Astyanax mexicanus: one gene and its partner. The protein of the gene in region 1 binds, or shares a complex with, the protein of each later gene. Links are inferred from orthologs where the notes say so. Each region holds a gene or a part of one and is shown in the gene's direction. Other genes may lie near its edges.

Region 1 (16,887 bases):
GTTGATTCACCTTAAATCTGATCCTTAATTATTAAGTGGAGTAGAGAGTGAACAGGCAGCTTCTCCAAGTGTCCTGTAGGGGCTGATGTACTGTAGTATTATTAATTTACTCTCATAATTCATCATTTTTCTTTTTGCCGTGTAGAAAAGTGGGAGGTGGACCCGGACGAGCTGAGTCTGGGGAAGGAGCTGGGCTGTGGGCAGTTCGGGGTGGTTTTAGAAGGATTCTGGAACGGTAAGAAAGTGGCCGTGAAGACCGTACGCGAGGACGCCATGTCCGAGGAGGAGTTTAAAGAGGAGGCTAAAATTATGACGTGAGTGATAATTGTTTTTCAGCAGTTTTATTTTTTTTTGGAGGGGGTTAAATAATTATAGCTTACAAAAAAGTTACATTACTTTTATATTAAACATATAATTGGATTAATAGTACATATGAATTAGTGCTGTAAATGTTAATAAGATTAGTCTGGAACCATAAAATTTCTAAATGCAAATTATTCACGTGACAAAGTTTAGTCAGCCTGGTAACACACACATGCACACACAGCTAATGGCATGATTTCTTTTACCTGGTTGTTGAGTGTGGAATATGGAGCTAGAGTAGTGTTTATTTCCTCCGTTAAAGCTCTTTAGCCTAGTAAAACATAAAAAAGTCATTTTAAATTAAATGTAATTGGAATAGGATAAATTGGATTGTTAATTTATTTTAATTCGATATTAGATTTTGTCAAATTAAAAGGAAACTCAGAAAATTAGATAAGTTGTGTCTGTAAAGCATTCACAAAGGACACATTAGAGTTGTGTATTTATAATAAATACTTAAAGGAGAACTTCAGTGTAAAATGGATTTGGATTGTAGTAAAACCTGATAAGAAGAAATACACAAAAAAATGATGCGTAAAATTTACTTTAAAAATTTTTCGCAACTTTCTGCATTTGCTTTTTTTAAGTAAATTTAATTTCAGATAATTTAAGTAACTTCAACTCGGTTTCAAGACACAGAGTAAATAAGTGAACTGAACTTCATTCAATCATTTCTTTTAGTAAACTTTACTTCATTTATTTTTGCTATATCAATTATTTTTTTAGTAAACTTTACTTAATTTCTGCATACAATATTACCTAATTACAATTACTTAATTTATACAATATTACTCAAATACTTTATGATACATAATAGATTATAATTCCTGTTTTTTTTTTTTTTTAGTTAAAACACACATATCACACTGTCTCAACACATGGATGGCATGTAATACATTCTTTATACTAGTAAACTAAAAATAATGTATTACATGCATCCATGTGTTGAGACAGTGAGACTTGGTCTGTTTACAAAATAAATATTTGAGATTATGTAAATATTGTTTACTTGTAATTAGGTAATAATGTATGCAGAATTTAAGTAAAGTTTACTAAAAGAAAGGATTGATTCAGTAAAAATAAATGAAGTAAAGTTTACTAAAAGAAAGGATTGATTCAGTAAAAATAAATGAAGTAAAGTTTACTAAAAGAAAGGATTGATTCAGTAAAAATAAATGAAGTAAAGTTTACTAAAAGAAAGGATTGACTGAAGTTCAGTTCACTTATTTATTCTGTGTAACATTTAAGTCTTGAAACCGAGTTGAAGTTACTTAAATTTATCTGAAATTAAATTTACTTAAAAAAAGCAAATGCAGAAAGTTGCGAAACTTTTTTACGCAAAGTAAATTTTACGCATCATTTTTTCAGTGTATAACCATATTTCAGTTTAAGTCCATTTCACACCAGACTTCTCCTTTTTTTTGTCCTTCAGGTCTAGTATAATGTAACTCCAGGTAGCAGCTCACTGATTATAACTGCACCTCCTCTTCCTGTTTAACAGGAAACTGTCCCACCCTAAGCTGGTGAAGCTGTATGGCATGTGCATGCAACGCTCACCCATGTGTCTGATCTTCGAGTTCCTGGAGAATGGCTGCCTGACGGACTTCCTGCGCTCCAAAAAAGGCTCCTTCAAGCCGGAGGATCTGCTGGGGATGTGCCTGGATGTGAGCGAGGCCATGGACTACCTGGAGAGTTCCAACTTTATACACAGAGATCTGGTAAACCTGCACTCTCAGGGATTGTCAGATCTGCTCCTCTACACTAATCTAGATTTACTTGCTCATTTAATTAGACAATTAGAAGTCAGAATACATGTGAAGATCAGTAATGTCAGTAAAAAAGGCCACTAACCCGAGAAAAGTGACAGAAGGTGGACGGTAGGCAGCTGGTCTATGGCGCGTGACTGTGAGACGGACAACAGTTAGAGATGTTTCGAAATAAAGACATTTTAACACTAATAACAGTCTTTGCAATGTGATATGTTACTTTACAACATGTGTAATAATGCCCTGCTAAGTGCATTCAGCCACTGACCTAGTCTTAGACTCTCTGTAAAACGTAAAATCCACCGGAGATCCTATGTAAACCCACCTGGTTACACACAGCTTGAGTGGATTTTTACTTTTAACTAGTGTAAACAGAACTGTTCTAAACACACACCTACCTATCTCAATTGTGCTTGGCTGGTGTTGTTCCCCCTATAGACAAATTCTAGCTATTTGTTTTTTAGCTCTGAATTACTGGGTAAAGCATATAAACACTGATGTGTTATTTGCACAAATAACACTGCAATGAACTGCATGCTGTTCCTAGGGCTGTTATTTTGCTCCTATCTGACAAGACGGCGTCACTGCCCGGCTTCAGCTTTGTCTGTGGGCGGTCCTGAGCCGAGGTGGGCGGGGCCATGAATACTAATTCACGGGTTGATGTAGACACAGTGCTTTTCCTGATCGACTCGTTTTTCTGAATATTTTCTTTTACTAGCTGCTGCAGACAATGGAGTTTGAGGAAGAGTTTTATCATGTGCAGCGTCATATACAACTCAGAGAGACCTATTGTTTTTCACAAAGAACAAGAAAAAGTGGATTTTAGGGGAAGGGCACCTTTAAGAGCCAGATGGGCTCTGATTTTGGTGGATTGCTATTTTAACAACGCAGATACCTGGAAACGTCCAATGCTTCTCAGCACAATGAGAATTGTGATGCGTGATAACACTTTGCGCAGTGTGTATGATAGAGCCGATTGTGTATAATAGCATAATAATGCAATTATATAACTTAAGTCACTTGCTGAGTCTTTAGTAATGAAAGTAATGAATCTTTCCTGTTTGCAGGCGGCGAGAAACTGCCTGGTCTCAGAAAAGCTTGAGGTGAAGGTGTCTGATTTTGGAATGACCAGGTAAGAAAACAAGCTGTTATCAGGTACAGTAAACCTTTCCTGTCTGCTGAGGGCATGCTCTCTACATGATCACCTCTCATCATTTTCTGCTGGACCCTGCAGGCCTGTGCTGGATGATCTGTACGTCTGCTCAACCGGCTCCAAATTCGCCATGAAGTGGTCGTCACCAGAGGTGATCAACCACACCAAGTTTAGCAGCAAGTCAGACGTGTGGTCATTCGGTCAGTACGACGTAATTTCTTAATTTAAACCTGCTGTATTTAGATTTAAGTAGAAGTTATGCAGATCTAAATCTCTAACCTCTACATAATACAATATTATAAACTGATTGTGATTTTTTAAATGAAAAACAGTAGGTTTTTCCACCATTTACAGCTCTGGAAAAAATTAAGAGATCTCTTCATTTTCTGAATCAGTTTCTCTGATTTTGCTATTTATAGGTTTATGTTTGAGTAAAATGAACATTGTTGTTTTATTCTATAAACTACAGACAACATTTCTGTGTCCCAAATTCCAAATAAAAATATTGTTATTTAGACCATTAATTTGCAGAAAACAAGAAATGGCTGAAATAACAAAAAAAAGATGCAGAGCTTTCAGACCATAAATAATGCAAAGAAAACAAATTCATATTCATAAAGTTTTAAGAGTTCAGAAATCAATATTTGGTGGAATAACCCTGGTTTTTAATCACAGTTTTCATGCATCTTGGCATCATGTTCTCCTCCACCAGTCTTACACACTGCTTTTGGATAACTTTATGCCTTTACTCCTGGTGCAAAAATTAAAGCAGTTTAGTTTGGTTTGATGGTTTGTGATCGTCCATCTTCTTCTTGATTATATTGCAGAGGTTTTCAATTTGGTAAAATCAAAGAAACTCATCATTTTTAAGTCTCTTATTTTTTTTCCAGAGCTGTATTTCTGTTTGCATATACACTGACCTGCCAACAGTTAATCCTTTTATTTTTATTTTTTTCCTAATTCAACTTTTGTTTTTATTTTTACCATTTACTTTTTTAGAATATTAGTGTTATTCTTATGTACTTAATTTTTTAAGACTGAATCTGAGGTAAGTGATAAATCAATATTGCCTTAACTATTCCTTCACCTCCTTAAGCTCTGTGTATTTTTATTACATACTAAATATTACTAATGCAGTAAATATATCTGAACTGTATATTAAACATTACAACTTTGATGATAAATGATATTCAGTATAGTATGTCCTCCTCCTGAAGTATGAGCTCCTATTGATTTAACTGGTCTTGGTAATCTCAGGTGTGCTGATGTGGGAGATCTACAGCGAGGGGCGGCTGCCCTACGAGTATCGCTCCAACGCGGAGGTGATCGAGTCCCTGAACGCCGGACAGAGGTTACTGCAGCCCCGCCTCTGCCCAGAAACCGTTTACCAGCTGATGCAGTGGTGCTGGAAAGAGGTGAGTGAGGATTTTTCAGTGGCATCACTAAGGGTTTTTACAGTAGATTTAAATTCTGGCATGCACAGCACACATTTTTGGGCTTTTATGTATGGCGTACAATTTTACGTGAGGCATGGGCTTTTATGCCCGGTGTGCGTTTCTAATCAGGGCATGGGCTTTTACACATGACTTGCACTTTTACGCGTGTTTTTACTCATGGCCTTTTATGCACAATTTTACATGAGGCATGCACTTTTATGCATGGCGTACAATTTTATGTGAGGCATGCGCTTTTACGCACGCCTTTTAGGAATGACATGCTCTTTAATGCACGATGAACGTTTTTACGCAAGGCATGGGCTTTTACGCACAAATCCTGCTTTTTCACCATGAAGGGTATACACTTTTATGTATGCCGCAAGATATTATGTGAGCCATGTGCTTTCACACATGCTGCACGTTTTTAAGCAGGACATGGGCTTTTATGCATGGCACCTGATTTTATACAAGGCATGCCTTTTACACAGCGATTGTGCTTTTCGGCATTCAAGGCATATATGTTTTGCACTGTGCACGATTTTACATCCTCCACTGAATGAGCTTGTAGGCACGGAAGGCATGCATCTTTACCCACTGAATGCCCTTGTATGCATGGCACCATTTTTACGTGAAACTTACGTTTTTCGGGCATAGAATGCCTAGACCTAAATTATTTCCAAGGCATGGTAATATTTTTTTTAACATTGTTACTTGTTGATATTGATCTTACTTTAATTTAATACAAATGAACCCTTAATTTTTCATTTTTGGCTCAAGTGCTGCCGTGCCCTACTACAGCTGTTTTCCAGTGAGGTGGGTGGGGCTGTTTTATTGGCTGGAAAAGTTTTTAATTGGTCTATTCTGATATGTTATTATAAACTTAAAAAACAAATATTAACAACACAATGTCCTTAATAGTGGATGGAGGGTCTGAAAGTGTTAAAAGTGTACCTAGTGCCTGAGGAGCCCAAAGTGACTGAATGCTTCCATTGCTTGAGAGCAGAAAAGGCCATCAGCATCACAGTAGAAGCATGAGTTTGGCAGATTTGTGAGGCATTTGTCTTGTTTAATCTACTGTATTAACTGTATTATTATAACGGCATGTCTTCATTTAATTCTATTTTATTTCTAATAGAAACCTGAAGACCGGCCGTCCTTCGCTCTGCTCCTCCATCAGCTGGCCTCTCTTGCTGACTTCTGAGCCATGGATTGTGTTAAATTTCATACACAAATCAGAAACCTGAATATAGATATATTGTACAGTTTATAGCAGTTTATTTATTTGTAAATTCTATTTATTTCTACATTTTTTATATTTCTGAGCAACCTTGATCTAATGGATCAGCCTTTGGTGCCTTAGTAGATAAATATATGGTAAGCCATTTTTGCCTAAAATTACACCAGTGATAAAGTCCTAACTTGTATAATGTACACTGTAATAATATAATATAATTTTTTTTAACTATTAATAATAATATTAATTGATCTAAAACTGATCTGAGTTTGTCTAAGTCAAAATTACAGAGGAGATGTCTGCAGTCACAACATTTACTAGTTAAAAATGCTAATTACTAGTTCAATTGTAATTTTTATTGGTATACTAGTGCATCTAAAAAAAATGTATACTATCCTTGAAAATTACTTTATTTCAGTAATTTAGTTCAAAATGTGAAACTTAAATATTGTATTTTATAGATACAACACAGAGTGATTATTTCTCCTATTACTATTGATAATGGATTACAGACAATAAAACCCAAAAATCAGTGTCTCAGAAAATTAGAATATTATATTAGACCATTTGGTACTTTTGGCAGTGTGGGCAGTGTACCAAATCCTGCTGGAAAATGAAATCCACATCTCAATAAAAGTTGTCAGTAGCAGAGGTTCAGCATGAAGCGCTGTAAGATTTTGTGTGAAAACTAAACTGCACTGACTTTAGACTTGATAATAAAAACACAGTGGATCAACACCAGCAGATGACATTAGATGCACTAGAATACTGAGTTAGAACGTATATCAATGGTGTGTTTGTAAGCTAAACCTATTTGCTGTATAAACTCTTGTAGTGTAGCTGCATTAAAACACTTCTGCTCTTCTGCTCTAGAGGGCGAACACAAGCTATTTAATAAACTAGATAGAGCTTCAGCCTCAAAACTATTCATTACTGTATTATTTACTTCATTTACTGTATTATATTTTTTACTGTTGGTTCAAATATTATGTATCATAAGTCATTTTAATACCATGTTTTATTTTTAATAAAAGCAAAAAAACCCTAATCAGACAAATATACCATGTTTTAATCTGTGACCACACACACACATACACACACACACACACACACACACACAAACAAACACACACGCTTTAAAAAGAACAGGATGACCAGACGAATGGACTTACTATAGAAGCCCATGGTGATACACACACCCACTCACCCTCACACACATGCCTCCTTTGGTTACTGTGGAAACCACACAAGGGTTACACACACACACACACACACACACAGGCTGCCAGGCCTCACTATGTATCAAACAGCCCAGAGCACATGGTCGGCTCACCTCATATTTTATTGAATGTGTTTCCAGTGGGGTTATCCGCTCTGTTGTAGGCTAATGAACTAGCATGAAATATTCAAGCAGACAGCTACTTCATTTTTTCAATTTCCCTATCAGTTATTATCTAAACCTTTCACCACTCACTGGAACAAAATGACACCAAAGCAAATGACTTTTAATAGGAGAATGATGTGATCTACAATAGCTTAAAGGGGACCTCTTTTTACACAGGTTAGAATAGGTATATGGTCTATACAAAACATACACTGAGTGTTTATATCTTACATAGCTTGTGCAGGCAGTGGGTACAGAGCCCTCACTCAGACAAAGTCTGCTGCCTAATCCTGCTGTGTACTGTCAGAGGTTCTCAGGAATGGTGCCAGGGTGGTTCTCTGCAGGTTTTCTTATTGTGATGTCACAATAAGAAGCTAGGGAAACATCCAATCGGTACATAGAAGCATATGATTCCTGACGCAAAAAGTGAGTTTTGTATAATACACACTATATTATGCTATATTAACCATTACAGTGGAAAGTCAGTCACTTCTGGTCAAATAATATGATTATTTATTTTTCTCTATGTTTTTTCTCTATATAATAAAAAGAATATTCTCTATAGAGACACACTTCTGCATATTTGACTGTTTATTTGCTTCAACAAATTCATCCAGAAAAGGATTATTATTATTTTATTCCCACTTGCCATGCTATGCCCATTTAATATCATATGCAATAATACATTTTAATTAAAATTTTTGCAGTAGTGTATTGTTGATTTTTTTTTTATTTAGCGTTTTGTCATATCGAGTATCGTTATCACAAGAATACCATGAAATATTCTGATCTTATTTTAGGGCCATATCGCCCACCTCTATGCCTTGTCCGGACGGGATTTGTTTCTCAGGGAGTCATGGTGGGGCTCCTCTGTGATTTTATTCCCGTCCGGAACGACCATGTATGTGTTTTTCTCAGACGTCGTCTGAGAAAATTACAGGCTGAATTACCTACTGTTATGTACTGAATTACCTACTGTTTGCTGAACTCCATTCTCTTCCAGTAATTTTAGTCCCATCCGGAAGCACATCCGGAGATCCATGTAAAAATACTACAGCGAGTGGAAATGGAGGAGCTACTGAACACAATGTCATGTGACCAAGAAAGCCTAAAAAAACTTTCTTGCATCCATTGCATTCTGGATGCAGGAGTTTAATCACTGAGTAGAAGTGTTAAATATTTTAGATTTCATGATTTATGAGGGTTTGAGGTAGTTTGGGTGTTGGGTGGTTTTGTGAATTGTATTTAGTATTTAATAAAACCAGCCGACTAGTTTACAAAATTATGTTTTAGCAATTGAAAAAAAAAAAAAAAACACCAGTAATAAACACCAGTATTTATAATTTGTTTGTTTGGCTAATGATAACTCACTCACAGAGAGGCAGCTAAGGATACCACTTTAAAATTAGACTCCTTTATTAAGGTTTTATAAATAGTTTATAAAGGCGTTTTTTAAGCGTAACTTACAACACCTAAATAGAAGGAACAACAGTGACTATAACTTAACATGTGTAATTGAATAATACAGAAAAACGTTAGTCATTTAATATGTTATTAAAGTTAAATGAATAAAGTTTTTAACAGACATTTATTACTTAATATCCATTAATAAACTGCTTTATAAGTATTTATAAACCCTTTATAAAAGAGCTTTTTAAAGTGGTACCCAGCTAAGCTAGCGTTAGCTTAGCATAGATTAGCTTAGCATAGTTCATGTTAGATAAATGGGCCTCTGTCACTTTAAGAAAAGCACTTGCAGCCATTTTCTGCTCTTTGTGTGCGGGGTGGGTGGATTAGCGGACGGGGCTGAAGCCGGAGCATCAGTCGGTGGAGATCCAGGAGAGAGGCACCCTCCCCCGGCTTGTGTGAGAGCCGAGTTGCGCTTTGGCCGGTCCGTTCGGTTTCGGGCGGACATGAGATTTGCGGGTAGGCTGTGAGCTGGGCTGTGTGTGTGTTTAAAGCGCTGGGTCTGGTGATGAGGAGGAGGTTAGATAGATAGCGGGATGATGGAGGCTCGGCGGGAGGGAGGAGGAGGAGGGGACCTGCTGCTGCTGCTGCTGTAGTTCGCGATGCGCCGTCATTTTTTATCACTGAGACCCGTCTAGTCCTGCTGTTTGCTGGTGTTTCTGCTTGTTTAGCGCGTTTCTCGGGTTTGTGGTTTTATAATAAGTATAATATAGAGGCGCTTGTGTGAACCAGGCATCCGTTCATTCAGTAGAAGCGGTGATAGCGGCGGTAGTATCAGCGGTGGTGCTGCTGCTCCGCTGCCTCACTGAAAGAAGCATCCTTCCCCGTTATGGGTGGGGTGAGGGGAGGACTGTCGTCAGAGCCTCCATACGAAGAAATACTGATAAATATCTGGGTTTTCTCACTGATTCCGCCTGTTTTAGATGCAGATTTGTATTTATTTGCTGTATAATAATAAGAAATAGCTTTAACGCGTGTGTTTTGTTAGATATATGGGTTATATTAAGGTGGCTCTTCTCAGTGTGGGCTGTAATATGGTTGCTAGGTTAGCTGGTTACTGCTGTTGCTAGCTAATCTAACGCTAAGCTAACTAGCTAACGTAACTAGCTGTTACTGTGTTTTTATAACGTTAACCTATTTAAACAGCAAATTTCTGCACTTCTTCTGGAAAAATGGGTTATAATAAAAAAGTGTTGTTTTAAATAATTCTAATATTACATATGAAAATACAATTTGGCATAAATATACGTGTTTCATAAATTTCACTTTCGAATTTGTATTAAATAATAATGGTGTAACAAAATAAAGAAATATAACAAAAATAATGTAATGTAACAACAGAAATCTACCAAGTTCAGCATATTTAGTGCACACAAATTGCAGAAATCTTGGACTTCCTGGAAAAAAATGTGTTATATTAAAAGAAAGCGATATTTTGAGTTAATTCTAATAATAAATATAACATAAAATCATACATTCAGTTGAAACTTAAATAAAAATCTAACGTTATAAATGCCTGTCTGTTTTGTAAACAGCAACTTACCAAGACCCTGAATTTGTATAAAATAATAATGGTTAATAATAATAATAATAATAATAATAATAATAATAATAATAATAATAATAATAATAAAAAACTTATCAAAATAAATACAAAACAGTCAATACAAAACGAATTTTTGGACTTTGTGCTATATTTAGAGAAAGTGATGTTTTGTTTGTATATTTCCTAAACAGTAACTTGCCAAGACCCTGAATTTGCACTATATAATAATGGTGTAACAAAATGAAAAATAGAAACAAAAATAATGCTAACTACTGCTTTCTTGAGTTTTTTTTTTATCATGTCAAGAGTTTTTTGCGATAATGTTTTTTACAATGAGATATGGCACAAACCTACACAAGCTACACATTTGCACTCACTTTGTTTACCCCATATTTTAATAGTAAAAATGACCGATACCTAAACTGAACAGCTGGGGCACACTAAAAATTAGGTAATGTCTAACTAACATTTCTTAGTATATTACACAAAAAATACCCCTTCCTTACTTGTCATCAGTGTGTGCTACCTTTCGTTGGATATTTAGTTATATTTAATAAGATTGAATTTCTGGCCACAGTGTTGTAAACCATAAAAAAGTGACCATATTCTTTGCTGTGATTTGCGACTTCATGCTGACTGAGAACTAATTAATTTTATCAGGTAATGTGATAATAGGGTGGCAGAAGGGAAACAGGAAATATTGATCTATTTAGTTGTGTGAAAGGTTTATCTGCCCTAAAACAATAGCACAATATTTCATGGTATTTTTACAATAACGATACTTTTGCCAATAAGACAAAACACTAAATTAAAAGAAAAATTAAATAACACACTACTGCAACAAAATGAAAATACAATTTTACTATTGCATACATATAGCACACCCCTAACGGATATATTAAAAAATACAAGAACTTTATCAGATTTGTAACAGAAGTCAATAATCCAGAATGTCATGATACTAATAATAATGCACTCCAAATATCTCAATATATCCAAGATTAAAGTAAAATAAATGATACTGGGCAGATATAATCTGTTTGTAGTAGATATATAATGGGAAATGAGAACAGTGTGAATTTTTCTTTTGCTAAAAACTGCAAAAAGTAGTACCCTAATGTGATAATTAGGGCTGGGTGATATGGCACCATATTTTAGGTTGTAATATCATTCACGATATTAAAAAGGTTAGCAATATTATTATGTATAATACTATATGGCACACTGCTGGTCCAAAGTGCTGTTATGAACTGTGCTAACCTGAGACATGCTCTTTTGAGACCAAATAAGCATAATATCCCTCATTTTTCACCAGTGTGTTCAACCTATAAGCCTCCATTACAGAGACGATGAGAAACAAATGATATTTCAACAGGTTATCAGCTGGTCATCGGCTGTCAGACGGTGCCCTTAGCACAGAGTATGAATACACTGCTTGTTAGTCATCAGTCAGTACATCACTCACTGTAGCCGGCCTGTTCAGAGCCTCAGTGTAATTTCATAGCCTGAAGGAAATCCATCATAAATCTATGATGTAATCCAGTCCGGTGCTGAGGCCGATGCTAAGTTGAACAGCATTCTCCACTCTGCTATCATTCTTGAAGGAACAGCGTACGGCATTGTGTCCAGTATTAATACACTTTGTCTTTATAATAGAGTGATCTGACTGATGGACCTGTAGTGTGTTACAAATTCATACAAACAATCGGCAGATTGAGGCGTGAAACCTGTTCATGCATCTTGCCATAGGCTGCCAGAGCTCAGAGAGAGCACAATTCGTCTTGCTCTCTCTGGGTGGGTGATGTGGATCAGCACAAGGCGTCTGTGAGCTGATGTATCAGAACCCAGTTGCTGCTCTTACCCTCGAGCGCACTGTGATGCTACTTAGTAATGCTGCATCAGCAGCAGTTCAAAAAGAGGCGGTGGCTGACTTCACATGTGACGGAGAAGGCGTGTGCTAGTCTTCACCCTCCTGGTGTTGGGGCATTACTAGTGAGGATTTGCATAGAGCTGCTTGGCCATGACGACTCTCCATTTCATGAGTCTCTATACACTCTGCTGTTGTTCATCTAATCTAAAGCTACATGAAGTTTGGAGGTGTGTAGTGATGAACTCTGAAGCTACATTAAGTTTGGAGGTGTGTAGTGATGAACTAATCTGAAGCTACATGAAGTTTGGAGGTGTGTAGTGATGAACTCTGAAGCTACATGAAGTTTGGAGGTGTGAAGTGATGAACTCTGAAGCTACATGAAGTTTGGAGGTGTGAAGTGATGAACTCTGAAGCTACATGAAGTTTGGAGGTGTGTAGTGATGAACTCTGAAGCTACATGAAGTTTGGAGGTGTGTAGTGATGAACTCTGAAGCTACATGAAGTTTGGAGGTGTGAAGTGATGAACTCTGAAGCTACATGAAGTTTGGAGGTGTGTAGTGATGAACTCTGAAGCTACATGAAGTTTGGAGGTGTGTAATGATGAACTCTGAAGCTACATGAAGTTTGGAGGTGTGTAATGATGAACTCTGAAGCTACATGAAGTTTGGAGGTGTGTAGTGATGAACTCTGAAGCTACATGAAGTTTGGAGGTGTGTAGTGATGAACTCTGAAGCTACATGAAGTTTGGAGGTGTGTAGTGATGAACTCTGAAGCTACATGAAGTTTGGAGGTGTGAAGTGATGAACTCTGAAGCTACATGAAGTTTGGAGGTGTGTAGTGATGAACTCTGAAGCTACATGAAGTTTGGAGGTGTGTAGTGATAAACTCTGAAGCTACATGAAGTTTGGAGGTGTGTAGTGATTGGTGTAGTGACTCTGCAGAAAGTTGGTGAACTCTGTGAATTATGCTCCTCAGCATCCGCTGACCCCGCTCTGTTATTTTACACTGACACAGTCTCTTCTACTGTGTTATAATATCACTGACAGTTGGCTGTGGAATATTTAGTAGTGAGTTGTGAAATTTCACGACTGGACTTGTTGCACAGGTGCTGCATCCTATCACTGTACCACAGTGCTGGAGTTCACTGAGCTCCTGAGTGCCACACATTATTTCACTAATGTTTGTAGAAGCAGTCCCAGCATGACTAGCTGCTGCTTTTATTATTATACACCTGTCGACACAATTGATTCAGCAACACCTGAGTTCAATGATTTGGTTCTTTTCGGATTTATTCAATGTGATATAATTCTGAATCTGAAATATGAAAAATATATAAGCCACCACCTGTGGTGTATGTAATCACAAACTGAGAGAGCTGGGTGAAATTGTAAAAAATGTGTATTACAACATTAAAGGACATTTTTATGATGCACAATGTTCATAACAATATTTTGACATACACACAACATGCATCAGCAGTGTGCCAGATTCCTAAAAAGGTGCTATTCACATACTCTTTCATGACAAGTACAGTGAAAATAGTAATGAAATGTTTAGTTGGGTTAGTGTTCTTTAAGCATTGATGATAACCATGATATGCTTATTAAAGCATATTGTGAATACCAGGGTTCCAGACTAACACGGTTCCACCGTCCCAGAGACAGGATTAAAGCTTTTTTGCAACACTTTCAGGAGTTTTCTGAGACAGCTTGCTGGTTGAAATATCACTGAGTTTTCCTAATTATAAGTGCAGAGTCTCTTTCCAGATACACTGCAAGAGTAGGAGGAGCATATGGACAAGAAAGTCAAAACAATTAATGGCATTATGGCTGTTGAATGGTACACAAACAAATACAACATTAATGGTAAATAATAAAGTATAAGTATTTTGGTTACCTTTGAGACGGTTTTGGGACAATTCTGGGACGCTTGTGAAAAAAGTTAATCTGGAACCCTGAATATGATAAGGAAATGTAACACAATACCATAAAATATCATCACACTGCCCAATTCTAGTGTGTGTTATGCTGCAGGCCTTTGGAAGAGGAAACTCACTGAGCGGCATGACCCAAACATGTCACACTCTCAGTGGCTCAATTCATGAGAACCCTGTGATCTCCCTGCAGTCTTCTGCTGCCCATCCGCCTACCAGGGTGATCCTTACGTCTGTTACTGGAGGTATAAATGGTAGCGTTCTGAGCATTCTGAGTGTAGAATAGCTGTTCTCATCCATGATAATAAATTGTACTATTGTCATTTTAAGACTAATGACTAATTCTGCTACACTGGAGCGTCACTAAAATAAAATCTGAAACTGAAACTAAGGTCGGTAAAAATGTAACATTTGGCTTACCTAAATGTATTTTTGTCTTACCTACAAAACAGTTTGTCTCAGTTACAAAACTGCAGGTTATTAAACACAAACATTTTAACACCCCAGCAGAAAACCTGACTTTACCTCACATGACAGCAATGCTATTCTAATCATATATTTGCTTCAGTGGTGCTACTGAGGTGTGAAAGGCAACAAGTTTTTTTGGTAAACAAACAAATGCTAAGGCTAAGCTACCTCAGCTAGTGTTACTATCCTAGTCCTGTACAGCTTTTAACTTCCTGCTGGAAAACGGACAGTATTAAAAGAGGTAGTAACCTATTTTTAAACGTGATAAGTGAAAAATGACGAAAGCTTTATTTTTTGGTGTAATTTGTGTGAGTAAAGCTACTACCTGCCATTTGTGAATCTACCACAACTGCTGAAAAACGAGTTGACACTCCTCAATAATAAAACACAATGGGTAATATTGAGGTCACCAAACATTAGAATTGAGATGATGTGCATATATTTCAGTTGATGACTGAATTGTTGTGACAGGTCTACGTGAGTGAGGACAGGCTGGTTAAAGCAGTTCAGAGGTTCAGAAGCCGTGGATTTGTTTTCTCCTGCCTTCTCGCCTGCTGGTGTGCTGTAATCCGTAATTAGCGTTTAGTCGTAGTACGGGGTGCAGTTTATAGCGCAGCCTGTTTAAGCGTGGGGGATTTGAGGAGCAGATATGTGTGTTTTCAGGTCGCTGGTTCTGGCTTTGTGAAGCTCGAGTAACGTATAGGAATGTGGGTTCAGAGACGGACTCTCAGCAGTGTGGGAAAGTTGACTTTGGCTTCGTCACCATCAGACTCTGTCTGTCTGTCCCAGTCTGTGTATTTCTCTGTTTAACATTCAGCAAAGACAGGCTTGTCTACCTGTAGGTAGGAAAAATGGCAAATATATTACCATATTTTTCAGACTATAAGGCGCATCATCAGTAAACATCTATTTTCTGGTCTATTTTCATACATAAGGTGCGCTGGTTATAAGGCACATTAAGCGACACTAGTAAGGATACCTACATCAAAGTGAGCAAGGGCGTCGCCATGTTTCCTTTCTCATGGGGAAGCTGTAAAAAGCGGCTTAAAAAAAAACATTTTCTTTCAAAATCAAACAATGTTAATCTACACAGATTTCTCTCCTAAAAGCGCTTCCGTTTGTTTACAGTAATCTTAGATTTCCAATATTTTGTCTAACGGAGATTTTTCAGTGCTCAAGTTTCTCCAGCATTAAGGCTAGGTGCAGCAGCATTAGCCACTAACTGCAGCGGGCACCCCTATTGCCCAGCCCTAATTGCAATAATATTTATAATACTGTGTGCACTGATTCTCTATTCAACTAGACAGCTTGTGTCATATTCAGTGTATTGCAGAATAGTGGTATACATGGCCTGTATTGCGTGATGCCCAACTGGCCACAACTTGCATTTTAGCCACTAATAATGCAGAGCATGTGGCCAGAATCACCACTTTGTTTCCCTAAATCAAATCAGATTTTGTAGATAACGTTAACTTTGAGCTCTTCAGTATCTACTGTGAAGGTATGGTGATGATGATGGACCCCAACACATATACTTTTATGAATAATAAAGAAGTTGTGGCCACAAGTTTCTTAACTGTGGTGGCCCAAAAAGGCAGTGTACCCCTGTGACCAAGAACTAGTACTGGCTGATTTGACCTCAAATCAATATATTCAATTATTAGAATATTTGACCTTGATTGCAATTAATAAACGATTTATTTAATATATAATTGACACATTGATTTTCTTTGACAAATTTGCAACATATATAAATTACAAAACTGAAACATTTTAGTGATGTCTCTATTCAAAATGAAGGCTTATGTTGCAGCTGCTCAATGTTTCTAATGAAACAGCCAAATGTGGTCACCAGACAAAGCTGCAGTTTGTAGGGAATATAAAAAAACTTTAAAAGCTGTTTTAAAAATGTTTTAAAGAAACCAAAAACACAAAAAGTGGGCGTGGCTGAATAATATGTTATTTTTACAGCAAGCTGGAAGGCATTCATGGTAATGCCATTTGTAACAGAAGTCAATGATCCAGAATGTCATGATACTAATAATGCACTCCAAATATCTCCATATATCCTGGATTAAAGCACAATAAATGATACTAGACAGATATAATCTGTCTCTAGCAGATATATAATGGGAAATGAGAACAATGTGTTATTTTAACTGATGGCAAACTGTATAACCGGGATTAGCAGTCTCCCAGTCATAGTGGTAGCACATAGCTGGGCCACTCAGTGCCCTTTATTTCTTTCACTTTAAAGTGATGGACAG
Region 2 (17,537 bases), on another chromosome or scaffold:
CTGGGAGTGCCCTGCAACCAGTTCGGCCACCAGGTGAGCCACCCTCACACTTCTAGCTGATCATTATTATAACCTGAGCTCTGTGTCCCCTCCGTCTGAACAGGGCTTGTTTTTAGAGTTTTAGAAGCAAGAATTTAGATCAGGAAAAAAACAACAATACAGGAAATGATGATTTAAAAGACTGATAATCCATAAAATACATAATAATTTAGAAATTTTATGATAATTATTAAAGTTCCTGATTGTTTAGATGCTTTCAGTTATGTCTCATAATTCCCAAAACATCTGATAGTTCAGAAAAAATGCCTAGTCATTATAAACACATTAGATTTGTATGAGTCTGATTATTTTAGAAAATATATGCTAAAATCAGAAAACTGATTTAAATGCTATAAAAAAATAAATGCTTGATACTTTTGAAAGCATTGAATGATTGTGGAAATTTTAGAAAATTTGTTGTGATTTAAAAAGTGGTGTATAATTCATACATTCAGAATGTGTCTGATTAATTATACTGCATTTGATTTCTTTGAAAATATCTTTTGCCTCAGAAAGTGTCTGATAGCCCTAAAACAATATCACACTATTTCAATATTCTTGGCAATATGACAAATGCTAAGTTTGCATATAAACTGCAAACTAAGAAAAGTAAATACAGTAAATAATAAAATAAATATGATTTAATGTAATTATTATTATTTTTTTTATATGGAGTGTTTTTTTAATCGTGACATAAATTGTGGCTATAATATTGCATACAATACGAAATGGCACACCACTAGTTTAGAGTGATTATGTGGTACCTCTCCTGTATGTACCTACATATGTACTTACTTTAACTTTTCAAAAAACACTATATTGGTTAAAGTTAATTTCTGTTGTTTAATAAGTCAAAATATCATGTGGTGCAACCCAACAGGAAAAATAATTATTTTAGGTACAGTTGAGAATGCGACATTGTAGAACAAAAACACTTTATTAGTTAATCTTTAGAAATTTCTGACCTATGAGGTGCACTTAAAATTCTATAATTTTCCCAAAAATCACCAGAGTGCCTTATAATGCCTTATGTTTGAAAATACTCAAGGCATTATGTAATGTACTTATAATCTATGTACTTATAATGTACTTGTAATCTATTGCGCCTTACAGTGCTAAAAATACTGTAGGCCTATGAAACCCCTAATATATGCGTTATTGAACCATAAACAAATACATACTGTATTTTTAAAAATAGGATTAATTATATAATTGCTCCTGTGCAGTTGGTTATGAAGCTAGTAGGCCTGCATACACAGACTGTTGTTTTTATCATCGTGACTTTGTGAAATTTGATAATGAGGGCTCCAGGGCATGCTGTAATGGGCTCTTAAGTCACTGAGGTTTTGGAATAACAGCCCACAGAGCTGCCTGAATTAATTCACTTGTTTCTTCTGTCCCAACCAGGAGAATGGCAAGAACGAAGAAATCCTCAATTGCCTGAAGTACGTCCGTCCAGGGAACGGCTTCGAGCCTCGCTTCCAGCTGCTGGAGAAGGTCGAAGTAAATGGTACCAATGCCCATCCCCTGTTCGAGTTCCTGAAGGAGAAGCTGCCCTTTCCCAGTGACAACTCCATGGCCTTGATGACAGACCCCAAGTTCATCATCTGGAGCCCGGTTTGCAGGAATGACGTCTCGTGGAATTTTGAGAAGTTTCTGATTGGTCCAGACGGAGAGCCGTTTAAACGCTACAGCAGGAACTTCTTGACCAGTGACATCGAGGCCGACATCAAGGAGCTCCTCAAGAAGGTCAAGTAAACTGGCCTGGCGCTGGGCCTGCTGGGGTTGTGTGGACAGGAGATAAGGGCAGTAAACATCTACCCCCGTCCTATCATTTCTGGCCACCAGCTCTGTTTGAGATGGCTCTGTTTTAGTGTGTGTTGGCTGACTTTGCTGACTTGGGTAGAGTGCGACTGTGCTGTAGGCTGTTTACTCTATGAAGGCGCCTCTTGAAATCTATTGTGAGGGGGGTGTCTGATGAAAATGTAAATGTCTGTTGATAACAGTGGTAATTTAACTACGTCCAGCAATGCTCAGCTCTACCGTCCAGCTCTTTTAAACCAAATAAACATTCCATAATGAAAAAGAACTGTTTCTCCTTTTTTGTTTGTTACCTAATCTAGAGAAGTTTGTCGAAATTCAGGAAAGAACCAGGCAAACCACAACACTTCACTTTTTTTTACTTCCTCATTGGTTGCTGTGCTACTGGTTTCCTTTTAACTGAAAGTGATTGGTGTGGCTCAGTGGATAACACCACTACCTGCTAGTGAGATATCATAATCATGATTAGGGAGATTAGGGTGCAATTCTCGGTCTGGGTGAATGAAAGCTGTGCTACGCCAATAAGAGTCCTTGGGCAAGACTCCTAACACTACATTGGTCCACTTCTGTAATATAAATAACCATGTAAGTCACTCTGGAAATGTAAATGAAAGGATAAGGTGAATTAGGTAAAAAAAAAAAAAAAAGGGCAACCTTTTTTTTTATTATTATTAAAGAGCAGACCTTAAGTTTTTTGTTTCTCATTTAAAGCAGTGAAAGCAGTGGTGTTCATGAGTGAGGAGGGCTCAAATACTCTAATAAATGACATACATATCATGTCATTTACAGCTCTGGAAAAAAACAAGAGGCCACTTAAAAAACTTCTGGAATATAAAAAGAGGAAGATAGATGACCACAAGCCATCAAACCAAACTGAACTGCTTGAATTTTTGCACCAGGAGTGGCCTAAAATTATCCAAAAGCAGTGTGTAAGACTGGTGGAGGAGAACATGATGCCAAGATGCATGAAAACTGTGATTAAAAACAAGGGTTATTCCACCAAATATTGATTTCTAAACTCTTAAAACTTTATGAATATGAACTTGTTTTCCTTGCATTATTTGAGGTCTTAAAGCTCTGCACCTTTTTTGTTTCAGCCATTTCTCAATTTCTGCAAATAAATGCTCTAAATTACATTTTTTTTATTTGGGATTTAGGAGAAATGTTTTTGTAGTTTATAGAATAAAACAACAATGTTCATTTTACTCAAACATAAACCTATAAATAGCAAAATCAGAGAAACTCAGTGGTCTCTTAATTTTTTCCAGAGCTGTATGTGTAATTTTATTACATGCAGAATTGCATGTGTGTACGTCTGTAGAGATTTCAGCTCTCCTTTGCACCATAGCAGAATGTCACAACAACAAACAACCAGATACTGGCAAAAGTCCTGACACTGTGTGACCTGTGTTTGTGTGTGTGTGAGAGTATTACAGTCAGACAGAAGTGTCTTTGTGCTGTGTGTGTTGTAAGAACATGTATAACACTGGTAAAGATTAGCTGGCAATAAAAATGATTAGTTTTGATAGTCAGTAGGTGGCAAAATAAAGGTTAAAGATTAATGACTGAGACAAGCTTCTCAGACATGCACATTGAATAAACCGCAATGAGTAAGAATTTATATATGGCAGTATACAGTATTTAGAGAATATGGATCTTTTGGACATATTCAGATTCACATTCAGATTCCTTTATTTGTCCCCAAGGGGAATTCAATAGGCATAAAATAACAGACACAACACGTACAACATTCATTGATACTCATAAACTGAGGTGTCAAGAGAGGTTATCTATACTGTACTGGAGTAATTATTTTTCATATGACTATCATCCAGATAGAGTGAATCTGATTGTGATTGGATGTAGAGAAGTATAAACATATACCATTCCAACTCCCTATTGGTTTATACTGTGATCCATTACACCTGCACATCACGTCATGCCCCCCCCCCCACACACACACACACACACTCCAGCAAGAACATAGCAGACGTATGTAGTGTAGTATGAAGATGAGTAAAAAGCTTAGTAAAAAAAAAGTTGATATTTCACTTTCTAAAGAAGTATTTTTAAAATCTAGTATCTAAAAATTAATACTATATATGAAAACTTCTCACACCTTTGCACGTAAATTTACACTTTATATATCAGCTTCAGGATTATGGAGCTGGACTGCCCTGGGGAGTCTTCCTTCTTTGTGTCCTGCACTGTGGACAGCAAAGTCTGCGTCCTGATGGAAGCCATTTAAACATGATAAGGGTCCTGCAAAATCTTGTGAGCTGATCTCACAGTTCACTGATCACTGGTAAGATGAGCGTAAGAGAATGAATGTACAGAGCATGTACTGTTTCTGATGCTATTTCTTTAGTGGCTCCTCCAGCATGTTGTCCAGATGCAGAGACAAGAGTACTGTGTCATCTGCAATTGCTATGGTACTTGTACTATTACTGCCATTCCCTCCTCTAGGTCAGCCTCAGTGTTGTCCTTGCTCAGCTGTCTCATTTAAACTGTAGGTCATGGCTTACATAACAGACTGGCGAAGATACCACTGTGTCATGGGTCTCCAACACTGCAGACAGACCCTGGCTCTTTGAACATGTTTATTTATAATGTCTCAGTTCCAAGTTTAATAAGGTTATATGTACAGACCACAGATCCGGAATTTTTTATCTTGTTTATTTGTAATGTGGCACACAAGTTTTATACATTCCATATTTATAAACAGTTTACGTTAAAGCTAAATATAAATAATATGTTTCAAAAAATGTATAAAAAAATATATTAAAAATATCTATTTCTCAATAAGTTCGTTTTAAAAAACAAATAAAAATAACTTTCAGTTAGACAGATGAGATTTTGGCAGTGTTCATATTATAATAATAATACATAGATTGCAATGCTATTTAGAATGAAGTGTTGGATTGCAATGTTATTTAAAAAAATCACAAACAATAAGAAAATGATTAAACATTTAGATATTAGATATTAGGCTATTTAGGCTATTTTTATTATTTATTGTTAACTGGTAACTTTTAAGGCCACAGTTCTTTATTGTTTTATCACTAAACTAGAGCCTAAAATCCATTTCTCCAGAGTCCTGTGCTCCAGTGCTCTGCCCATGCAAGGAAAATAACTCTGATCCACCCACAACTAGAAGTAGAGGTCATAGTCCTGCTCCATCTCCAGGACCATGTCCAGCAGGCCTGTGAGCACATCTTCCTCACCATCAGTGTCCTCTTCACTGTCTTCACCTTCCTCCACGCCACTGTCTGCACTTTCAGTACTGTAACTCCCTCTGTCTGATGGTAGTGGTGATGACTGTGTGTTCGTGCTCACCCTGAGGTTACCACACACCCGGTTGAGCTCATTCTCAAACTCCAGCTTTGCTAGTAGCTCCTCCAGAGTCTGCAGGCTGGAGGCCTCTTCAGGAAAGGAACAAGAACAGGAAGAATTACATAACTGCAGCGTTACAGCATTCCTGACCTCCATGAAGTGCTGGCCTTGTTTATGTATACTGTAATTCCACATATTTGTAATTAAATGCATAGCAATCAAAAAAAGGTATGGGGATGCCTGTTCATTTATTGTTTCTACTAGAATAAAGGGAATTAATAAATAATTTAAAAAATCTCTACTGTCAAGGAAAGTCTAGATTGATATACATCTCTGGAAAATATTAAGAGACCACTTCAGTTTCTGATTAAGTTTCTCTGAATTTGCAATTTGTAGGTAAAGCTTTGAGTAAAATGAACATTTTTGTTTTATTCTATAAACTATGGACAACATTATCCCAAATTCTAAATAAAAAAATGGTCAATTAGAGCATTTATTTGCAGAAAATGAGAAATGGTTAAATAACAAACCCTGGTTTTAGAATACAGTTTCCATGCATCTTGGCATGTTCTCCTCCACCAGTCTTACACAATGCTTTTGGATAACTTCATGCCATTCCTGGTGCAAAAATTCATGGCTTGTGATCATCAATTTTTCTTTTGATTATATTCCAGAAGTTTTTAATTTGGTAAAATCAAAGAAAATCATCATTTTTAAGTAGTCTCTTATTTATTTCCAGAGCTGTATGTGTAAATATATAAATATAAAGAGATTACACAGACCAAGCAATCCATCGCAGTTCTGTGGCACGGCACCTTCAGACTTCTTTTTGGATCCCAGGCTAAGTCATAAGGAAGGGTGTGGACAATAATTAGTAGTGTTATGACATCTTTAAGAAAACCAAGGCATATACTACAATCATATAATCACAGTTAAGCACATACTCACCATGCAGGCCTGCAATCAGGCCTCTCTGAGTGTCTAAACATCACATTATGGTACACTGGGCAGAGGCCGCAGTCATGAAGGATCTCAGTGTGGCCAATAATGTATTGAGGCGAGACATAAATAACAGGTTCTGAGGTGTTGTGTGAAGCAGGTGAGCAGTACTCATGATCCCGGGCTGCTGAAAGGCCTTGTATATACTGTCTTAGCTGGGTTGGCATTTTTCTAGCTACCAAGATAAAGACAACATTCTTAACTTTTTAGTCTTAAAAAAAAAAAAAAACTACTATGACATAACTGCACATTATTGTGCTGTATCTGTGAACTCAAAATAATGAGAGAGCATCTCAAAATAATGACTTATTATCTCACAATAATGAGTTAGCATTTCAAAATATCTCAGAACAATGACCTAGTATCTGAAAATAACAACTAAGTTTTTAAAAATTATGACATTACATCTCAAAATAACAAGTTAACATCTCAAAATACTGATATCTCAAAATAATGACATCATATCTCAAAATAACAAGAAAGCATCACAAAATAATGATATCTCAATAGTATCTTAAGATAGTGACTTAGTATCTCAGAATAACTACTTATTATCTAAAAAACATATTTACTTTATATCTGAAAATAACAAGAAAGCATCTCAAAATAATGTCTCACAAAAACGAGATAGTATCTCTAAATAATGACTTAGAATCTCACAATTACGACATAGTATCTCAAAATAATGAAAAAAGTATGTATGCAATAATTAGAAAATTAATATGTGCTGGAATTTGTGTTTATTTTAGCTGGCGTGAATGGGCTTTCATAGATCTTTAATGGTCAAGATTGTAAAAAAAAAATCCAGGGAATCCAGGGAAACATACTCTATTCTGGTTAACTAACTTATTATTTTATTTATTTATAGTTTTTTTGTTTTAGTTAGATGGGCTTCTTTGTCTATTAACCTGGTTGATTCACCAAGCTGGTAGCTGGGCAAGCTAGTTAGTTAGCTAGCTAGCTAACATAAACAACCAGAAGATTCAGTTTCTAGGTTACCAGGTTAGCTAAGCTAGCCAGTAATGCTAAAGGTCATTTATGCCTCATTATCAGTAATTCTGAAAAAGTTTAAAAATATATATTCTAGCTAATACAACTGATATGTATAATAATTTCAAAAATGCACTTACTTTTTTCCTAGTAAACTGTATTTATATGAACAGCAATTGGATAATTAATGTTAGCGTTAGCAAATTAACCTGTCTAACTAGCTAGGTTAGTTATTAACTAGCTTGGTTAACAAAGAAGCCAGTTAACGTTAAAATCGTTCGTTCAAATAGATATTTAAATAATTCACAACGTTTCCGTTTATATAGGCTGTTTAATATAGTATTTAATCAATTAACGTTAAATAATTAGATTAATCTAGGACACTGTAGGGCAGTTCCCCAGACAGAGATTAAGCATGGTTTTAGACTTCACAGAATTTTCAATGGATATTTACGGTTAATCTCTGATCTTATATATATAGTATATATATGACAGTCTGTAGGGTAAAACTAATGCCTGAATATAGGTCACTGCCTAAAACCGTGTGTCAGTGGAGCCCTCTTTTGCCCAAGCCGTTGTCGTCGCTTAAGTTACTCAAGGCTCCAGCCCCTGACGTCCAATAAGCTGTAAATTCCCAATAGTCTGTGTAAATAAATTAGTTGAATGCATTGCTAATATAAACACATCTACAACTGTATATTACCTATAGCTAGTGTTTTCATACATACAATGTACACATACCCACACACTATATACACTTACTAGAAGCAGAACTCACACCTATATACCTCATAATGTGAAAAAACAGTGTTTTTTCATGTACAATGTAAATATTGATGTCAATATTCTTAAGATTTTTATTTACATTTTTATTATTTATTATATTTCATATTGTTAATATTTTATAACGTTTAAAAGCTACTTTAGTCTCAAAATAAATGGTAAACTGTATAAATGGTGGAATGCCAATACTTGGACTAAACATTTGGTTAAATGCTAAAGTCCAAAAATGTTTGGTTAAATAGTGGAATGACAATAATTGGGCTGTTTCAAACGTGTCAAAAAACTTTTGGTTAAATGCTTAAGTCTAAAAACCTTTAGTTAAATGCTAAATCTAAAAACTTTTAGCTAAATGGTGGAATGACAATACTTGGGCTGATAAAGAAGTGTCCAAAAACTTTTGGTTAAATGCTAAAACCAAAAAAGCTTTTGGTTAAATGGTGGAATGCCAATATTTGGGCTGATAAAGAAGGGTCCAAAACATTTGGTTAAAAGATAAAGTCCAAAAACATTTGGTTAAAAGATAAAGTCCAAAAACCTTTGGTTAAATGATAAGGTTCAAAAACGTTTACTTAAATAGTGAAATGCCAATTACTTGGGCTGATAAAGCAGTGTCCAAAAACATTTGGTTAAATGGTGAAATGCCAATACCTGGGCTGATAAAGAAGTGCCAAAAACGTTTGGTTAAATGCTAAAATAAAAAAAATGAGTGCCAATACTTGGGATGATTAAAAAGGTTCCAAAAAAATTGGTCTAATGTTAGAATCCAAAAACCTTTGGATAAATGCTGGAATGCCAATATTTGGGCTGATAAAGAAGTGTCCAAAAACGTTTGGTTAATGATAAGGTTCAAAAACGTTTGGTTAAATGGTGGAATGCCAATACCTGGGATGATAAAGAAGTGTCCAAAAACGTTTGGTTAAATGTATAAGTCCAAACACGTTTGGTTAAATGCTAAAATCAAGAAATGTTTTGGTTAAATGGTGGATAAAGAAGTGTCCAAAAACATTTGGTTAAAAGATAAAGTCCAAAAACATTTGGTTAAATGCTTAAATATTGCTTAAATAAATGCTAAATCTAAAAACTTTTAGCTAAACGGTGGAATGCCAATACTTGGGCTGATAAAGAAGTGTCCAAAAACTTTTGGTTAAATGGTGGAATGCCAATATTTGGGCTGATAAAGAAAGGTCCAAAAAAATGTTGGTTTAATTTTAAAGTCCAAAAACTTTTGGTTAAATGGCTGATAGAGAAGTGTCAAATAAAGATGAACAAAAAAAATGTCTGATTCTAATTACCTTATTACTGCATAATTTTTTTGTAATATAAACTTTGTTATTAAAGATAAAGAAATCGAGATAAATAATAAAGATTTATGTCTGGTAAACAACAATAATATCTGCTTAATATCTGCTTTATTTTTTTTAAATGGAATAAACTGCAGAATGACCCACTTTTTCGAGGAGCCGTATACTGTTGAGTTTTTCGCCGCATGTTTGGCTGCAGGCGGCGCTGCGGAGCCACTAAAACAAACGCAGCGGCTTCAGTAGATCAACATGGCCGGACAGGAGGATCCAGTGCAGAGAGAAATCCACCAGGACTGGGCAAATCGCGAGTATATCGAAGTGATTACCAGCAGCATCAAGAAAATAGCCGATTTCCTCAATTCCTTCGGTGAGTTCGGCCAGAGGAGCGGGCTGGGGGCTGTGTGTAACCGGCCGTGAGCTGCGGTAGCCGCGGTGCTAACGGTGTTAGCTAGCGTGTGGAGGAATGAGGAGGGGCGGATGGATAACTATTAGCTGGTTAATGTGGGTTATCCCTGTTTTTAGATATGTTCACAGGCTTTTGGCTCGTTATTTAGAGCGTAACTGGAGCTGGGGAGGGTGTAGTGTACATATTTATACAGGACAAGTCGTCACCTAGAGAGCTAGTTTAGCCTTATAGCTTAGCTAACCTAGCCAGCTAGCTTAGCCCGTCAATATAAACATAAACATAGTGGACTCAGGCTACAGTAATGTTAATGCAGTTAGCTGGCGGGATAGATAAACTTTTTGAGTGTAATAAACCGTAAATGTGAGTCTTTAATATTACAGTACAGTGTATATAAATGTATATTTCTCATTATACCTCCTTAGCTACATATAAACCACTAGCTTCTTTTAGCTTCCTGTTTTTTTCTGGGTGCGTTCTGGTGGCGCTGCAGCTCAGTATGACTAATGCTAACCATACACCAGAGAACTTTAAAAAGACAGTAGACACCCAAAGACAAGTCACAGACTTTTTACTCACAGATAGACAGAGGATCACTGTTTGCAAGACTGCAATTAGATTATTTCTGAGATTATTTACCATCATGCTTCTGGTGGAGATTACATACAGTCGAATTACATTTTGAGTTACAAATAATGTGTACATCAATACTGTGATTTATTAGAGATTTACAGCTTTTGGCCCATCAACAGTTTATTTTTTAGTCACAATGTTACTTCTTGATATTTTTTAATATAATACATTTTGTGTTTAACTCTGCCAATTTGCTTATTTTCACTTTTTTGCTTCAACCTTGAAAAGAAAAGAATCACAGTTTCACTGCTATACCTATTTAACTTTGTTTTAGATAGAATCAATGCAATTAAGAACACCATTCTTGCAAAATGTGTATTTATTAAACTTGTTTGTATCAAAAATAACACTGAACAACAAGACAAAGTAGTGCAAAATAAAATAACTTTATATATATTGACTTTAAAGTGCTACTTGTGTTTAAAGTATTGTACATATTAAAGTAAGGTCCATTTAAGACGTATTAACTGCAAAATGTGTTTTTTTTTTTATCGTTTGTGAAGAGTCACGTAAAATATTAAGTAAAAAAGTAAGTAATATTGCTTTGCAGCTTCCTGTAGCTCTTCGATTGGTTGTTGACATTGTTCAGGTCACTATTTGTGTGAGCTAAGTCTCAAAACTTACGACAATATTTAACACGATCGATTTTATCTGGTCTTATCTGATTGTCAGGACGCGAAAAACACTGACTTCAATCCTAACCATCTTACACTGAACAATTAAGATGACACGACCGCAAATCAACTCTAGCAACACTCTTATGATTTTATCCTGACACTGGAAATTTGTCTGCGACAGTGAAATCGCTTGAAAATTGTTTATTTGCAAAATATTTTTAGCCAACTGGTTCTTACATAGACTGGTCACATCTTTAATCCCTCTTTTTCACATTAACTGGATAAACCAAAGAATAGGTCTATTGAAACTACCAGTAATAAAAAAGATAGAAAATATTTTGAAGTAGCTCAGCCAGTGTTGGCCAATTGTAATATTGCAGTCGGCATAGCTTGGTCCTTTTCCAGAATACAAGTGGCCAATTCCCTGTGATGGATATCTGGGATGTGCTTTATATATTGTCTTGTTTCTGTATGTTGACAGTAATGATTTTGACTGGCAGCATATGGCAAAAACAACTATTAAATGGATGTTTTTTTCTATATTGTACAAATGTCTACTGCTAAAAAATTGCTAAATAAACTATGCTTATGTACAAAAGTAAGAGTAACAATCAGTTTCTGAATATCTCTCTGCTTTCTTTACCAGATATGTCGTGCAGGTCCCGCCTAGCCACCCTGAATGAGAAGCTGACTGCCCTGGAGAGGAGGATTGAGTACATTGAAGCCAGAGTAAGAGCATATGTGGTGTTAAAAAGTCCATTAACAGCATTATACACTATTCCAATTAGCAGCCTGGTTCCTCTGTGTGGGTTCAGCTAAGCCATGAATCTGAACACAGATAATGCACATGCTTTTGATTGATTGAGGTCTGTCTCGCTGTCAGTGAAATAATCTGGTCTATATTCAGGTAGTCAGCTGACCTCATTCTTTCAGCACATACTGTTCCTGAACCTAGACCTGACCAACTTCAGCATCAACCCCACATAATTTGCTTAATTAAATCCAGGTGAAGACTTTTTTTTAGCTAGGAAATGTGGCATGTCAGAGAGCAGCCTCTCAGAACAGAAGACAGAATTTACGTGCATTTGTCATTTACATGCAAAACTCTACTCAACTATTAATAGTTTATTTTTTTAGACGGACATAATGCAATGCAAATAAAAAATATCGTCACGCTTTTGCATGTTTGCATTCTGCATTAGTTGAGGTTTGTGGCACAGATGTAACCCTCTAAACAGGAACTTGGTGAGTTGGACCATAGTGCTACAGCTCAGAATGAAACTGCTGGGTGTTAAATATTCAACTTAAGCAAATAAAAGACAGCTTGTTCAGCAACAGCCAAATCAAGCTAAAATAATTTATGTGTAAGCACAACTTTAATGTATCTTGTATCTGTAATGAGCTGCATAGTATAACTCACTTTCTCTCCTTTTCTCTTCAAGGTTACGAAAGGGGAAACACTGACCTAAATGTCTCAACGCAGAGGACGAGAAAAATGGCCACTCTCCGTTTTTTCCTCCTTTTCCATTCAAGTTCAACAACTCAACCAACTGTCACTTGACAGACTGTTTTAGACCAGCCTCTTAAAGCCCAAATTAGGAACTGCTGCAGCAGCACCATCACTGGACTGATTCTGAGTTCTGTTTCTGAAAAAGAGAACGTGGAAAACATGCACATTTTACGTTTTAAGAGGGCATTCTTTAAAAGTCTCTTGTTTTGAGCAGCTGCTGCAGTTCCTAATTGGGGCTTTAACGTGCGGGACCATTGTGATGACGTCTATGAGCATTTTAAATGTGTTCCACACTTTCTGCCTCAGTATGAACAATGTTGTTTTATTTTGGATCCTTGGTTTGGGTCAGTTGACTTGTTACATACGATTGATTGGTCCCCTTTTTAACTTTGCTCTCAAGCTTGAACAGCTGTTCTAAACATGCAAACTTAGACACTAAACCTTTTAGAAATATTGAGCGTTCAGTAAAGTAATCAGTAAATAAAACATGGACAGAAGAATAGCCTGGATGCCTTCCAGATCATAACGGTTCCATTTTATTTTTAACCGAACAAAAAAAAAAGATAATTGTGAGAATTGTTTATTTTTTTGCCCCTAATGTGTTTAACTAGTTTCTTTATATATTTTGTAATTGTTTAAAATGCAAAATAAGCCTGCATATGCAGAAACGTGGCTACCCTTGTCTCTCATGCAATAGAACGAACATCTTAGCAGCTTTACAAAGCACATAATAGCGTGTGTTGGGTGGGGGAGTTTCTAAAGTGCCAATCAGACCATGTTGAAGAGGCGGATGCATCTGCAGCAGTGCGGTTTTGTGTTTTATTTAATGCTCATACATTGATGTTTTGTGGTTTAAACAAGGAAATAAAAAAATCAAGTAACTGTCAGGGTTGTGTTTTTTAATCATATTTTCATATATATTAAATAATATGGCTTAGCAGTGTTTTTTTTTCTTACTAAAATTCACAATTTGATACTATTTTTTTCCATATTTGTTTTATTTAATTAGTGTTGCCTCACAAATTTCGCACAGCCACAATAAAAATGTTTTATCTATTAAGCATTTATTATAGGTTAATTTAGGTTCATTATTGCCTGTTGCTTTCTCTTAAACATTTTATTTCAAAGGAATATATTTTAGATCTTACCTTCTCTTTTAATACTTGAAGCTTATTCTGATATGTGTTTAGGCCCAGCTTTTGAACTTTCCAGTTTGGTCAAAAACAAAGTGACAGTTATGAAAAGGGACCACAAACTATGACTACGGTCTGGCCCCTTCAATTTGACAATTTATTTTCTGAAAATACTACAGTATTTCTACAGTATTTTTATTTGGAATTTGGAAGAAAAGTTATCAGTGGTTCATAGAATAAAACAATTATTAACAGTTATTTTTAGTTAAACATATACCTTATTAATATAAGTATAATTTATTTAGAATTTTAAAGAGATCTTTATATGTTTATAGACATTTATACGGAGCCCCTAAAGGGACGTGGTGTATTTTTTTTTTTTTTACATAGAAAGTGGTGAGCACCGCTTACTAAGTCGTGAGCACGACTTACTAAGTCGTGAGCACCACATACTAAGTCGTGAGCACCACATACTAAGTCGTGAGCACCAGATAATGGTAGCTAGCAAGCTATAGTTTAAACTGGCATATGTTCCATAGTGTAATGTGATTAACTAGCTAGGTTAGCTAATGTTATCTATATTTCATTGTGAAATGTTTTAGCTAACGATAGCCAGCTAACTCTTATTAGACACAATCCAGTTATCAAAATCATATTTATTTAGCTGCCATGTGTGATCAAATGTAGGCTGCTTTTACAAAGATCTAGCTTGCTAACCTAATGCTAGCTAAGTTAGCTTAGCTTTAAGGCTTTCATTGCTCTCTGTACAATATATGGTAGGCTTGGGTTAAAGTAGCCGCTGTGTTTGGTGTGTGTGCGTGTGCCCAAAAGCTTTTCTGTGCACATCTAATAAGAGTAAGCTGGCTAACGTTAGTTAACATTTCCCAGTGAAAAAAAAGTAGTTACCATTAGCTAACATAGCTAACGTTAGCTAATACATTTCCCACTGAAATAAAGTAGTTACAATTAGCTAAACTAGCTTACATTAGCTAATACATTCCCCACTGAAATAAAGTAGTTACCATTAGCTAACCTAGCTAACGTTAGCTAAAACATTCCACAATGAAATATAGATAATATTAGCTAACCTAGCTAGTTAATCACATTACACTGTGGAACATATGCCAGTTTAAACTATAGCTTGCTAGCTACCATTATCTGGTGCTCACGACTTAGTAAGTATGTGGTGCTCACGACTTAGTAAGTCGTGCTCACGACTTAGTATGTGGTGCTCACGACTTAGTAAGTTGTGCTCACGACTTAGTAAGTCGTGCTCACGATTTAGTAAGTCGTGCTCACGACTTAGTAAGTGGTGCTCATGACTTAGTAAGCGGTGCTTACCACTTTCTACGTAAAAAAAAAATACACCATGTCCCTTTAGGGGCTCCGTATATATCTGCTTTTATTTTGAAAAAAAGTACATTTAGGTTTTTCTGCAGTGAGAAAATTAATAGCTGCGTTAATTAAAAACCTGCAAAAAAAATAAAGTTTATGTTGTAAATATAACTAGTCATTTTTTAACTGAGTCCCTAAGACTCTGACTTAGGGACTTTAATTTTGAAGTGCGGGCTGGTGATGCTGCTCCTCTAGTTGGTGTGTGTAAGGTAGCCGGGTGTGCGCGGTGTTGTTGGGGCCGGGGTCAGTGTTGGAGCTCCTCGGGTCGGGCCGGTTTTCGGGGCCGGTCTCCGGGTGCGGTGAGCGGCTGCGGTGTGCAGCATGCTGCGCTCATTCGGTGCGGATTTAAGCGGCGGTCTGGAGAATATTCCGGTTTTAATAGAGAGCGGTGTGAGTCAGGACGCTTTGTCCAAACTGCAGGTAGATTTTTACTGATTATTTTCTGTATATTCCCTTTACACAGACTCTACAGAAGCGCGGCGTGTTACTGCACTGTGACGAGTTCAAGCTCTCTATATTTATTTTTCTCTAAACATAATATTTTTCACACTTTTTTAATAATGTTTTATTATGTTTGTTTATGCGCTGCCTTGTAGTTCATATTTACGACCAGTAGATGGAAGCAAAATCTTTATTTTAGCATATAACTACATTCTTATACTATTTATCTATATATTTATTTATTAGTGCATCTCAAAAAATTAGAATATCATTGAAAAGTTACTTTGGAGAGACATGTCATCTGCTGGTGTTGATCCACTGTGTTATATTATCAAGTCTACAGTCAGTGCAGTTTTGTCTTCCCACAAAATCTTACAGCACTTCATATCTTACAGCTTCCCTCTGCTACTGACAACTTTTATGGAGATGCGGATTTCATTTTCCAGCAGGACTTGGCACACTGCCCACACTGCCAAAAGTACCGTTTCTGAGACACTGATTTTATCAACAATAAAATAAATAAACGTTTAAAATAGATCACTCTGTGTGTAATACATCTATACAATATATGAGTTTCACATTTTCAACTAAATAACTGAAATAAAGTAACTTGTCAATTATATTCAAAATTCTTGAGATGCATTAGTGTATATATATATATATATATATATATATATATATATATATATCCCAAATATGACATGTTATAACAAATGTATCTACCAAAGAAAAGAAAATCAAACAAGGGTACATAGGTTAATTAAGTGTACATTCTTCTTCTTCTTCTTCTTCTTCTTCTTCTTCTTCTTCTTCTTCTTCTTCTTCTTCTTCTTCTTCTTCTTCTTCTTCTTCTTATTATTATTATTATTACAATTATTATAGAAAATACCAGACACAAGTCTGGAAGTTCTGAAAATGAATGTAATTAAAACTAAAATAAATAACTTTGAACTTTAAAAGGTTGTTCATGGAAAACATTTCTTTAAAGCATTTAAATGGTTAAATGGTCGGAACAAACCTTCATAAGCAAGAAGTGATGCTCTCAGGATGTTTAGTAGGTCATATGTCACTTAGGAACTTTGAGTTAAAGTAAAGGACAGAGTGATGTAAGGAATTTTACACAGCTTTTAAAGGGTCAGCAGGCTCTATTGGGTTGTTATTATTATTTTTACCATTTTTATTGAACCATCTTGTGCTAAAATATAAAAGTCACTTTGGTACATTCAGTTCTTTCTAGTAACACAGATGCTGTGAAGTATTGTAGGGAATTGTGTGATATAGTTTTTGCAGAATTACAGTATTGTATCATTGTGATATAATGTTTATTTTGGAGAATGTACTGGTAAATCTGGAGGCTGCTGCTGTATTAACTGCTGTGTCTGTAATGTGTGTCCTGCAGTACACTCCGGAGAACGTACAGGGTCCAGGCTGTGATGTTGACCCGAGTGAGGTGACCCTGCCCGGCTGTGTTTGCCGAGCACAGTCCTGCGTGCCGGACGGCTGCCCGTGTCTGTGCTTCGGTCAAGCCTACACCAGCGAGGGCCGACTGGTCGAGCGTCAGGCGGACGAGGCCGACCTGCTCCACAGCCAGCCTGTGTTCGAGTGTAACGTCCTGTGTGAGTGCAGTGAGTCCTGCCAGTCTCGCCTGGTCCAGAACGGCCTGCGGGTGCAGCTGGGCGTCTTCCGTACTCAGGACCGTGGCTGGGGGGTTCTGGCTCTGGAGCCGATCCCGCGGGGCTGCTTCGTGTGTGAGTACGCCGGGGAGGTGATTGGGTTCCAGGAGGCGCGGCGGAGACAGCTCTCTCAGACTTCCAGCGACATGAACTATATCATCTCCGTCCGGGAGCACGGGGGAGAGAGGAGGTTCATCCAGACGTTTGTAGACCCGGCATCTGTGGGCAACGTGGGACGCTTCCTGAACCACTCCTGCCAGCCTAACCTAGTGATGCTGCCCGTACGTGTGCATTCACTAGCGCCCAGGTTGGCGCTGTTCGCCAGCCGAGACGTGGAAGTGGGTGAGGAGCTCATGTTCGACTACTCTGGAGGACATGATTCAAATACACAAACACAGATGGACGCTGGAGCTTCTCAGAAGAAACCATGTCACTGTGGAGCTCCAAACTGCACTGGATTTTTACC

Evidence for each region.
Region 2: cyfip2 (region 1) and brk1 share a complex: the UniProt entries of both Homo sapiens proteins name them as parts of the WAVE1 complex. The link is inferred for Astyanax mexicanus from reciprocal best matches to the Homo sapiens genes CYFIP2 and BRK1.

Annotation. Positions count from the first base shown.
Region 1 is NC_064417.1:49,384,226-49,401,112, reverse strand, and holds the start of cyfip2 (cytoplasmic FMR1-interacting protein 2), read left to right. Parts: upstream 1-9,105; 5' UTR 9,106-9,262; intron 9,263-16,887. Other genes in the region: itk (tyrosine-protein kinase ITK/TSK), read left to right, coding at 146-314, 1,865-2,081, 3,197-3,261, 3,364-3,482, 4,540-4,697, 5,854-5,919. UniProt on the Homo sapiens protein: Involved in T-cell adhesion and p53/TP53-dependent induction of apoptosis. Does not bind RNA. As component of the WAVE1 complex, required for BDNF-NTRK2 endocytic trafficking and signaling from early endosomes.
Region 2 is NC_064431.1:28,739,753-28,757,289, forward strand, and holds brk1 (probable protein BRICK1), read left to right. Parts: upstream 1-9,469; 5' UTR 9,470-9,515; coding exon 9,516-9,633; intron 9,634-11,565; coding exon 11,566-11,648; intron 11,649-12,361; coding exon 12,362-12,388; 3' UTR 12,389-13,316; downstream 13,317-17,537. Other genes in the region: uncharacterized protein C3orf62, read right to left, coding at 5,011-5,282, 5,976-6,034, 6,142-6,359; histone-lysine N-methyltransferase SETMAR, read left to right, coding at 15,279-15,377, 16,798-17,537. UniProt on the Homo sapiens protein: Involved in regulation of actin and microtubule organization. Part of a WAVE complex that activates the Arp2/3 complex. As component of the WAVE1 complex, required for BDNF-NTRK2 endocytic trafficking and signaling from early endosomes.